Linked DNA regions of Arabidopsis thaliana. The protein of the gene in region 2 purifies or fractionates together with the protein of the main gene of each other region. This does not show direct contact. Each region holds a gene or a part of one and is shown on either strand. Other genes may lie near its edges.

The links. The genes of interacting proteins can lie anywhere in the genome.
Region 1: the proteins of SYP41 (region 2) and SHD purify together in Arabidopsis thaliana (affinity purification with mass spectrometry, with the first as the bait; one large-scale study listed by BioGRID). This does not show direct contact.

Annotation. Positions count from the first base shown.
Region 1 is NC_003075.7:12,551,046-12,557,653, forward strand, and holds SHD (Chaperone protein htpG family protein), read right to left. Parts: upstream 5,014-6,608; 5' UTR 4,807-5,013; coding exon 4,740-4,806; coding exon of another isoform or gene 4,736-4,739; intron 4,636-4,735; coding exon 4,518-4,635; intron 4,436-4,517; coding exon 4,282-4,435; intron 4,191-4,281; coding exon 4,110-4,190; intron 3,944-4,109; coding exon 3,832-3,943; intron 3,747-3,831; coding exon 3,620-3,746; intron 3,527-3,619; coding exon 3,388-3,526; intron 3,170-3,387; coding exon 3,055-3,169; intron 2,951-3,054; coding exon 2,757-2,950; intron 2,668-2,756; coding exon 2,452-2,667; intron 2,370-2,451; coding exon 2,204-2,369; intron 2,084-2,203; coding exon 1,942-2,083; intron 1,858-1,941; coding exon 1,707-1,857; intron 1,630-1,706; coding exon 1,225-1,629; intron 1,142-1,224; coding exon 857-1,141; 3' UTR 507-856; downstream 1-506. Other genes in the region: TLP1 (THAUMATIN-LIKE PROTEIN 1), read right to left, coding at 1-23, 107-176; AT4G24200 (Transcription elongation factor (TFIIS) family protein), read right to left, coding at 5,882-6,608. UniProt on the Arabidopsis thaliana protein: May have a molecular chaperone role in the processing of secreted materials. Required for shoot apical meristem (SAM), root apical meristem (RAM) and floral meristem (FM) formation, probably by regulating the folding of CLAVATA proteins (CLVs).
Region 2 is NC_003076.8:9,487,601-9,492,807, reverse strand, and holds SYP41 (syntaxin of plants 41), read left to right. Parts: upstream 1-1,715; 5' UTR 1,716-2,203; coding exon 2,204-2,403; intron 2,404-2,587; coding exon 2,588-2,864; intron 2,865-2,963; coding exon 2,964-3,053; intron 3,054-3,286; coding exon 3,287-3,358; intron 3,359-3,454; coding exon 3,455-3,529; intron 3,530-3,646; coding exon 3,647-3,712; intron 3,713-3,804; coding exon 3,805-3,885; intron 3,886-3,976; coding exon 3,977-4,084; 3' UTR 4,085-4,675; downstream 4,676-5,207. Other genes in the region: AT5G26990 (Drought-responsive family protein), read right to left, coding at 111-188, 466-608, 1,367-1,442. UniProt on the Arabidopsis thaliana protein: Contributes to the regulation of secretory and vacuolar transport pathways in the post-Golgi network, and to the maintenance of the Golgi apparatus and trans-Golgi network (TGN) morphologies. Together with VTI12, required for membrane fusion.

The sequences.
Region 1 (6,608 bases), on a different chromosome or scaffold from region 2:
ATCACTTCCTACCAAATGCAATGCTTTAGCTATATGTTAATATTTACATTTTATATAGAAATATTCATACTGATATGAAAGTATGATAGATATGAATATTACGTACCATGGAAGAAGAGGAAGCTAAGGATGATGAAATAGAATGAGACATGAGAATGAAGGACTGTTATGATCATCACTGTTTATTTTTGTCTCTCTATTAAAAAAAAAAAGTACTTTTGGTGGAGAAATTAAGTTTGGAATATTCACAAAACGAAAGACCAAGAGAGAAAAGAGGAAAAAGAAAGACCAAGAGTAGAGTTTAAAGCACCTCTATATATACGTTGTCTCAAGGGTCAAGCTCAAGATATGTGATGATCTCACAAAAGTATTGACCAATTTCTTTTATGTTTTAAAGTGATACAAGATAAAACAACATCTTGAAAAGCCATGTTATCACGAATATATTGATTAAAGTCTTTTTCCATATAAAATCTATAGCTTTACAGATTATCTGTTTGAAATTTTTGCAAAAGTCATAAGTTTTCGAAAATAAATTTTGTGGAAAATAACACCGAGTAATATATGCATGATAGGTGGCCAAATTAGCTAAAGAGAGTGCATATTATGGTACCATATCTAGATAAACTCGGACAATCTAGATAAACTCGGACAGCAGGACCATTAATCTTGAAAGATAAAAAACTCATACATTGAAAAGAAGAAGTTTAGGTTCCTTGATCTCTAGAATGCAAGTAGTGCGTTTACATAATCCATCAAAAACTGCTTAATTAAACTAATCTTGATATTCGAGTAAAACGATGTTCTGCTTTAAACTAAAGAGGTAAACACAAAGGAGAAACATCAGAAGTGAAATCTACAGTTCGTCCTTGGTGTTCTCTTCTTGTTGCTCAACGGGTTCGGCTTCAATGTTTAGACCACCAGCCAAGTCATCTGATTTCGTCTCAGTTGCCTCACTGGTCTCTGGTTCCTCTGCTGCCTCGATTTCCTCGTCGGCTACTGCATCAGGGCTGATGTTCAGACCGCTCTTGACTGAGTTATAAATACGGGCAGCAAAGTCTTTTGGGTCGGTGAGTATGAATCCACTCTCGATCAAAGCTGTCTGGTACATGAGCTGTGCTGTTTCCTTCACACTCTCATCCTGAGAGAATTTGGTATGTTAGTTTATTTCTCTAATAGACAGTAAGTAAAAAAAAGAATTGATGGGTCTTATGTTTGTTTTACCTCTGGGTCACTTGCAATTCTATCCTTGAGTTCTTTGATGATAGGGTGTCGTGGGTTGATCTCGAGGACTCTCTTTCCGCGCATGTAAGCTTGCTTATTAGCATCCGAGAGAGTTTGGGACTGCATGATCCTCTCCATATTAGCACTCCATCCAAACTTGGATGTTACGACTACACATGGAGTGTCAGCCAAACGGTTGCTGATTTTGACATCGTCTACGTTTTCGCTAGCGAGATTTCCTTTCCACCACTTTGTTAGCTCCTTGAATGCTTCCTTCAGCTCCTTGTCTTTTGAATCTTTCCCAACCTTCAGTCCTTCCTTGGACACATTCTGGAACTTTTTGTCTTCGTAATCCATCAGGTATTGCATCAAGTATTCATCAACTGGGTCTGTGAAGAAGATGACCTGGGAACACAAGTATGAGAACGTGTTATGCGAGTTGGAGATCATTTAAAGAAGAATTATTCGTGTGCAATGCAAACCTCATAGCCCTTCTTGATGAGCCTCTCCAGGAATGGAGATTTCTCTAGCTGTTCCTTGCTGCTTCCTGTGATGTAAAATATGTCCTTTTGGCTCTTTTTCATTCTCTTAATGTACTGATCCAGGGAAGTCAATTTTCCATCGGACTTTGTTCTGAAATAGCAAAATACAAATCTTTAGCCTGCTGGTGCTAATGAATGGACAGACGTGTATTAAAAAAAAAGTAACAGAGCTTACGTCTCAAAACGAAGAAGTTTTGCCAAGCGGTTCCTGTTAGCAGCATCCTCAATGATACCTAGTTTGACAGACTTGCCAAACTCGTTCCAGAATTTTGTGTATTGACCCTTCTTCTCATCGTTCTCACCAGACTTCTCCACATCTGCGTGCCAACAAGTCAATAAGCTTAGACCATGTTTCAGAAAGATGAAGCTACCAAATGGTAAAAAAAAGTGGAACGGTCAAAGTGGATTGATACCAAGAAACTTGTTTTATGGAATACCTTTTTTCTCATCATCATGGATTTCATCAGGATCTTCTTCAGCAAGCTTGCGGATCATATCAAGCGCCTTTCGGATAAGCTTCTTCTTAATTGTCTTTAAGCTGCTGTGTTGTTGAAGCATTTCTCTTGATACATTTAGAGGCAATGTGTCAGAGTCAACAAGACCCTGCAAAAGCAACTCACGTTAGGGATTTAGCCCATAAATTTGTATTGAAAGAACCCCTTAGTTTGTCTTTCAAGTAGTTTACCTTCAAGAAACTCAAATACTTAGGCAGAAGCTCATCAAATTCATCTGAGATGAACACCCTCCTGACATATAGCTTCAAGTTCGCCTTGTTGCTGTTGTAATAGCTCTCGTATAGATCATGGGGAGCTTTCGGAGGAACATACAACACAGCCTTGAATTCAACATCACCTTCAGCATTAAAGTGACTCCAAGCCATTGGCTTCTCGTCGGTAAAATCCTGTATAACAACTGGGGTCAGGGAAATCCACACGAAAATTTTACACCTAGTATGTAACAAGTATGATTTAGTTAACGCATGGTTTTCACCTTTGAGAGAGAGTGGTAGAATTTAGTGTACTCTTCCTCTGTCACCTCCTTTGGACTTCTCAGCCATATAGCCTTAACATCATTCAGAAGCTCCCATTCATAAACTGTTTCTTTCACCTTCTTGGTTTTCTGCTTTTTCTCACCATCTTCCTCCTCAGCATCTTCTTCCTTTTCTTCCTCGGTAGAGGTGGTTTCTGAAGTCAAGTACCATTACCAAAAATCAGGGCTGCCTAAACTGAAGGGAAAAAAGATAACACTGCAGCAGAAAATTATAATATGGTGTTTCATTAATACTCACCAGTTTCCTCATCAGCTGATTCATCTTCCTCAACTGGGACCTCGGTTTCAACCTCTTTGCTAGCCCAGAGGGAGATAGGGAAGTTAATGAATTCAGAATATCTCTTCACCAATTCCTGTAGTAGACAACAATGATCATTAGCAACCATAATGAGAGGATAAACAGAAATATTGAATAAGCAGTGCACTGAATTCATAATAATGCTGAACCACTTCCCCTCAGGAGAGTTTGGGGTTCTCTACAACAAACCCTGGGTTATTCTGGTTCTTTGCATTGCTTAATTTAGGTTTGTAACAAAAGAGAAATTTACTTTCTTATCAAAATATTACCCACCTTAAGTTTACTTTCTTCTAGGTACTCGCCAGCTTCATCCCTAAGATGTAATCTAATCTCGGTTCCACGTCCAAGAGGCTCATTCCATGTATCCTCGGAAACAGCAAATTTACCGTTAGCCTTTGATTCCCATACATACCTGAAAACGGAAAAGAAGTTATCAGAAAAGCTTTTCAATGATTTTACATGCCCACAAGTATATTGCCAAACAAAGCCCTCTAAATCAACTTACTGGCTGTCATCATTGTGCTTGCTAATGACTTCAATGTAGTCAGCAACAAGATAGGCAGAGTAGAATCCAACTCCAAATTGTCCAATAAGGTTCAAATCCCCACTTGATTGCATTTTCTCAACAAAAGCTGCGAAAGGCAAGATCTTAGAAATATGGAATTTATTGATCCATACTATTATGCAGGACAACGTATCACCACATAAGTAACGTACCTGACGTTCCAGATTTTGCTATGGTACCAAGGTTCTTGATTAAGTCTTCCTTAGTCATACCAATTCCCCGGTCTCGAATAGAAAGAATCTTCTTGGCTTTGTCTAGCTTAATCTGCATACCATAGCATAGTTACGGAGGTAAGAAAAAAGCTTACACTAGACACAATTCCAACGAAAGGCTAAATTTACTGAGATCAGCATTTGATAAAACAAATCGATGAAACTCTATTTTCAACACTCTCAAGCATAAAAATCATATTGAGAAACATGTAGCTAACCTGGATCTCAAGCTTAGCAGTGTCACCTTCACCCAAAACGTCTTTGTCAGTGAGTGCAAGGAACCTAATTTTGTCCAAGGCCTGAAAATCACCAACACAGACACTTATTAGTTCCCCTATTTAACGAGGTATCCCAAAAACTCACTAAAACAATGTACACGAAGCTGCTTACATCAGAAGCATTGGAGATCAACTCTCTTAAGAAAATGTCCTTGTTACTGTATAGAGAGTTGATAATAATGTCCATAAGCCGAGAAACCTCAGCTTGGAACTCAAACTTCTCCGCGTTACTGCGAAGCGTCTTCTTTGACATCGACTCAGACTCTCTGTCGATCAAACGAATTCGAATAAGGCAAGATTCAAGCAATCCAAGCGAAAGTTCTACCGTGAAACTAACAGAACACTAACCTATGAACTACATCGGAATCCGTCGATAAACCACCGTGACCACCAATTTTCTCCTCAACTTTTGGTGGATCTGTAACATCATCGGAACTCTCTTCTGCATTCGCGTGTAACTTTCTTCCTATGATAAACACCACAGAAATATCGCCATCATCAGCATATGAATCCTAAGCAACACTTATATCTATCTACTCAAAATCAACACATATATACATCGAAACGTACCTTGATCTGGAAGAAGAAACAGAAGCGAGAAAAGGAACAAAACGGACACGAGCGTCCTCTTCCTCATTGTTAGATCGGAGCCTTGGTTCTCTCAGTCTTTGCTTTCGGGTTACTCAGTGATGATGATGATTCAGCTCGATAGATCCGTATATAATAGGAAATGATTCAGTGATGTGTGAACTGTTTAGTTGCGTACACTTTAGTTTCTCCTGATTGGTTAGCTTCGTCATGATTTGCCAACGTGTCAGATCTAACGGATCGTATTGTGAGATAGCCACGTGGTAGTTTTGTATTGGAGCAAGGTTTTGTTCTTGACGTGGAGCGACGTGGATTTCGGGGTTGTGGCGTGGATGGACGACTTTTAAATTATCAAAGTATGCTAAATCAACGGTGATATTCGTTTACGTCCTAATTGGGACGATCGGACGGCTATATTTAGTTGTTTTACATGTGACAAATAACTATTGGATATTAGGATGCTATGCTTTTATTGATGTCGGATACAAAAGTAAAATGATGTTTTTCTTTGTACAACGATGATTATGCTTGCCAAGGTTATTACGTTTGGCTGGCTTTAATCGGTTGATGGCTAAAGTCTCGCCTAAAGGCGATACAATTTGTCAATTTGGGAAGATCATAGTCATCACTCATCCGTAGTAGCAATATGTATGCGCGGTTCAAAAATGGTAATGTCTATTTGGTCCCATTATTTATTGAAAGATACAACACGTGAGAGACTTCCTTCCTCACCAGAGACCTCCTTCGCTGCTTTCTTCCATGAACAGTTGTTCAGAAATGAGAGCATAACATATCGACGAATGGAACGAAAATGGACGCAACAGATTAATCAAACCACTAGAACCTTTTCTGTATCTTAAAACTATATATTTATTTATGGAGAAAAACCCAACAAGGTTAAAAAGAAGCTTGACATATACCAATGTTTGAACTAATCCTCCTATATGTTATGAAATAAAATAAAAAACCTGAAAAATGGGAAAACTGAGGAAATAAAAAAAAAAGAAGGAAAAGTTCAGCAAGACACTTTATAAGTTACCTCAAAACACTTGTCATCATCCTTTGACCAATCAATCAATTCATCAACCTATTCAAGAACCCATCTCCACCACTTTGTAGATCACTCACCTCCATGGAGGAAACTCCCAACGTGGCTCCGGCTCTTTTCGCTTTCCACCAATGCTGATAGAAGAACTCGATGAGGGCTCTACATTTGCTCCTGAATGCTCTCCCATAGCCCCGCTTTGTGAAGGTGATAGAAACTGCCTCAAATTTAGCGACTCTCTGTTTCCTATCTCAAGTCCAAACCCAGAGTTCTGATCAAAGTTTGGCCGCATTGATCCATTCGTACTAGGCGATCCACCCGCCAAGCTCATGAACATGTGTTGTTGAGGGAATGGTGGCTGCACATACGGCGCTGATCCGATTATTTGCGGCATCATCACTGGGGTACCTCTTGAATCCACCATGTATGGAATAGCAGTTCCAGGAACATACATGGGTGATGACATTGACAAACCAGGAGGACCAGTCAATCCGTTGTAGCCATACATAGGGGCTGGAGAAAAGGAGACACCAGGGGCTAGACCCAAAGAGTTTCCCGTTCTTCCCATGTGTAAACCTGTTGCAGGCTCGAGGGACTTGCCATTGGACAAGAACGAAGCCATCTGAGGTACAGAGTCTTTTCTGTCAGCTTCCACTTTTGTACCCAAGATAGATATACCTGGTTCTTCCAATTTGTGCCCCCCATAGGAGGCTGTACTCCATGGGTGCCGCCCATAGTAGGGACCCTGATCACGTGAATCAATGAAAAACTGTGGCCTGTCATTCAAATCAAAGTTTACTTCCTTG
Region 2 (5,207 bases):
CCTAAATCATAAATCAGGAAGTATTCATATCATTAACACAACTCATTGGAAGAATCAGATAAGTACATGATCGTTAAAAATATAACTGGTAGAGAGAGCAAAAAGGATATCTTGAACATATTTGCATGTTGTAGGGTTATATGAGCAATCATATCAGAGCTCACTTTCACCGCACAAATGGGACATACCTACAAGATTAACAATGTCAAAACGCAGAATTGAAAACAAATCTTGCTATTGTAGCAATAAACAAGTGTCCTAGAGTTGATTTCTTCTCTGAGGAACACTGAGTGGCAATTCCAAATACTATTTCGACGCATTTCATTAGGTTACTTTCACTTTCTTTATATCCAAGACCAGTAACTACTAAACATAGAACAGTGCTCTTACCAAGAATGATATGATGAAACAATAAATAGATTTTGATTCAAAACGAGAGAAAGGTAACATTGAGGAAATATCTACCCCATTTTTTGCATCCATAGGATGATCTTCATCAATGTGACAGCATAGAGAGACGATATCAAAATAGTCTGAACAGAACGGGCAAGCATACTCCTCCCTGAAGTCATCTTCTCCTTCTATCTCCTCAAACCCCAAGAAATTGTCTGCGTTTTTCAAAAATGAAGAAACTAGTCAAACACGGCCAAGAGAACATTCGAAAATGTGACAACTACAAAACAAAAGCCTAGAAAATAAAATGACAACTACAAAACAAAAGCCTAGAAAATAAAATGGGAAATACTAAAAACGCGTTCCATTCTCGAAGTTCCAATACAAATGGGTTTCAGAAGAAACATCAAAGATATCTAAATAAACGAATGGAAACTAGTAGATCATAAAACCTTCCCTGGCAAAGACGTCTAAGTTTGAGATGAAACTAAAGCTTTTAAAAACGTTTTTACCAACAAGAAGTTTTGTATTTACTTGTAAGTCAAACAAGAATCATCAAGATTCCAGCTTTTGACATTAAGTTCATACCAAAACCTAGAAACAAAACACACACGCTTAATCAATCCCTAAAGCCTCACATTAGTAAAATGCCTCAAAAGACAGAATTTATTTCCTCCATTTTCCTTAAATTCAATATCAGCAAAACAAACATTTGAACAATCACCATTTCAAATATTCAGAACAAGACACAATCAATGTCTTGTCCCATTTTGTTCGGAAAACCAGAACAGTAACAAAAATGTCAATCTCTTACAGTCAATCTCGATCCTTGATCAATTCAAAAGAAAACAAATTTGAGGTCTAAATATCATTGATATTTTTGCAATAGAATCAAGATTAAATTTAAGACAAAACCAATCAAATCTCAAATTAAGAAAGAACAAATCCAAGTTATAATTTTTATCAAACTCACCAGATCGAGACAAGAAATCGAGCTGATATCTTCTTGAAGCCGATGCGAGACGATCACTCCAAGAATCAGAATCCATTTTTTCTACGAAGATTATTACAAATCGAAACCAAAGAATCCACTTTTTCAACAACAACAACAAAAAATCAAATAAATTCCAAGAATCCGAATTGATCTTGAGTCCGGATAAAACAAAAACAGAGATATTCCGATTCAAGAATCAAAAGATTCCGACGAAATGCAAAGACGAAGACGACGACGACGATTTTGCGTCTTTTTTTTCTGGAATTCGTCTTTTTATCTTCTTTTTTTATTATGGTTTTTAATTCTTTGGATATAGAGAGAGAGAGAGAGTGAAAGACATAGAAGAGATGAGTTCTATTACATGTATTAAATTGTTTTTTAACAGCCCGCACGAATGCATGCCGTTTAAACCTTTTACCCGCCGTGTTTTTCCCTTTTGGAATATCAAAACGTCATGCTGTTAGTACGACGCTTACGTGTCGAAATATTATTGGTTTGTATTTGGTAAGCTGGTGAAACAGGACAAAGTTAGCCGCGCAACTGTTTTTTAACTTTTTTTTTTACTGTTTCCAAAGTTTTAAGTTTTGGGGAAATAGTGAAAAGTGAAAACCTCAATTTGCAAATCTGAGAGTTTACTTTCCTCATCGGAAAAAGTTTTGATCTCGCCGCTCTCCGAGCACTTCCTTGTCGGAGTCCCAATTTTTGTGTTCGGTTTTATTCTCGGTCGATGATGAAGCCGCGATTGTGTTCAGATCGGAGCTGATTTCGAATTTGGATGTGAAATTGAGATTCTAGGGATTTCAAATTTTGACGATCATGGCGACGAGGAATCGTACGTTGCTGTTTAGGAAGTACAGAAACTCTCTGAGAAGCGTCAGAGCTCCATTGTCGTCATCTTCATTGACGGGAACACGATCCGGCGGCGTTGGTCCGGTGATCGAGATGGCGAGTACTTCGTTATTGAATCCGAATCGCTCTTACGCTCCTATTAGTACCGAAGATCCTGGAACTTCTAGGTACTCTTCTCTCTCTTTATCAGTGAAAATGGTGAACAATTTGATCAATTAGGGTTAACTGGAAATGATTAGCTTAGCAATGAGAATGATAATACATCATTGATAGTGTAGTTGAAGTAAATGTCTGTGAGCTACGTTAAGCTGAGAGTTAGTAGTTACTGAGATATTTTTGGTCATGTTTTAGTAAAGGTGCGATAACAGTGGGCTTACCACCAGCTTGGGTTGATGTCTCTGAGGAGATATCTGTGAATATACAGCGTGCAAGGACTAAAATGGCTGAGTTGGGAAAGGCTCATGCCAAGGCGTTAATGCCATCGTTTGGGGATGGTAAAGAAGATCAACATAATATTGAGTCTTTGACACAGGAGATAACTTTTCTATTGAAGAAGTCTGAGAAGCAACTTCAGAGGCTTTCTGCTTCAGGGCCTTCTGAAGATTCAAATGTTAGGAAAAATGTGCAGGTAGTTTTGACTTGATGGAAGCTGCTCTTAACACATTTCCTTTCTTTTTGCTGCATTTGCCATTGCTATCTAAGATTTATCATGTGTGTTTAATAACAGCGGTCTCTTGCCACTGACCTCCAACTTCTTTCTATGGAGCTTCGCAAAAAACAGTCAACATATTTGAAACGCTTGAGGCAGCAAAAAGAGGTATGAAACTATTATCTATTTTAGTGTAATTGGCATTTCTTATACCGGAAACTATGTGATGTTGCAGTGTCTCATTCTTTGAAGTTTTTGTTTGCTTTCTGCTCCTCCGCCTCAAATGAAACTTCTTTACATCGATTTCATAGATGATAGATTCTTTTAGTACTTGTTTTTTCAGAGTATATTATTCTGTCCTCTCAAGAAGCTTTGACTTGAAATGTATTATCATTTATCAGGATGGGATGGATTTAGAGATGAATCTGAGCAGAAACAGATATAGACCTGAAGAGGATGACTTTGGCGATATGGTTTGACTCCTATACCTGTTTCATTCTATCGATTTAAAGCAATCATTCGTCTTATGTCTTCTTTATTGATGGAATTTTTTCTCGATTCCTTTTTAGTTAAACGAGCATCAGATGTCAAAGATAAAAAAGAGTGAAGAAGTATCTGTAGAGAGGGAGAAAGAGATACAACAGGCAAGTGCTTGCACTACGTCTTTGTTCTTAGTTGTTTGTAGCTCACCAACGTTTTTTTTTTTCTTTTGCAATCAATCATAATCTTTTTTCTTCTTCGTTGTCTGTGTCATTGTCCAGGTTGTAGAATCAGTAAACGATCTTGCTCAAATTATGAAGGATCTTTCTGCACTTGTGATAGATCAGGTTAAACTTATTTAATCCCATATTCTCTTTGTCTAGCTTTTGAGTCTTCTTCCTTTCGAAAAACAAACTCAAAGCAACCCGTTTAATTGCAGGGTACAATAGTTGATCGGATAGACTATAATATCGAAAACGTCGCTACTACTGTTGAAGATGGTCTCAAACAACTACAGAAGGTAAAAATAGTGTTCTCTCTTCAACATTAATGTCCAACTATTTGTTTGTCCCAATTCTAAATGAAGTGGATCGCATAAAAAAACTTCACAGGCAGAGCGAACGCAGAGACATGGAGGTATGGTGAAGTGCGCATCCGTGCTTGTCATCCTCTGTTTCATCATGCTGCTACTCTTAATCCTCAAGGAAATATTCTTGTGATCGGATACTATAATCCCTGGTTAGATCAATAAGAAAAGTTCGATCCTTAACTATTTCATTCTTTAGCCCCGAACATCGCATGTTTTCCTTCAGGGCTTTTGGTTTCAACTTCTTTGCATTTAACAATACTAAGATCCTTTGCAGAGTAGTTAGTACGTAATATTATTGTGTAGAAGAAGACCATAGATAGTCAGAGGTCGATGTCTGAGGAGTTGAGAGATCTGTGCACCAACGCCAAAATACTCTCTTCACGCTAAAGTCAAGTGTTCTTTTAAAATGTATAAGATTCCAGTCATAGTTGTTGGAACTTGTTTTTGACAAAATGGTTTTGACCATTGTAACTTGTGGATTTTCCGGTGAAGACGTTCATTGGAGTGACCAGATTTCGGGCAAGATGGAATCGTAGCTGCGAGCACTACATGGTGGAGTATTCAAATGTGAAAACGAGTTTGTTTGAAATCTTTTACTTTCCGGTTATTGTATCTTCGCATAAATTACAAATTCTCAACATTCTAGTTCTTTTAAAAACATATATCATTTACAAATGTATAAATATTTTTCACTTGAAACAATGAAAACTTTATACACGTTTTTGTGATGAGTTAATATGAATTAAATTACATCTCAAGTTCTCAACTCTAGTTTGAAATTGGTCATGCCAAATAGCCTAATTGAACTTGTATTGTTATTGTGTCATTATCATGGTTCAAACCCATATTATAATCATACTGTTGACAAAAATTATAATTTTAATATTAAATTTGTGTTATTATTTTTGTAGATAATTAGCTGGAGGGTTTTTAAAAGAAAAATATAAAAAAAAAATTAAATAATGATTATATCAGCGCTTAAAAAAGATAGTATTATCCTGGATAGCACATTATTTTTTTTATCTGTTTCTAATGATTCTTTAAATTACCTTTAAATATAATAAATTACATATCTAAGAATTTTTTAAAATTTATGATAATATTTTATCTTTTTTAAATGTAGCATGTATATAATAAATTTAAAACTTATATTATATATAGTGCTTCAATAAAATCCTTGAACATGTATAACCAAAAAAAAACCTCAAACAACATGTGCATGGATGTTTACCAATTATCATTTAAAATATAGT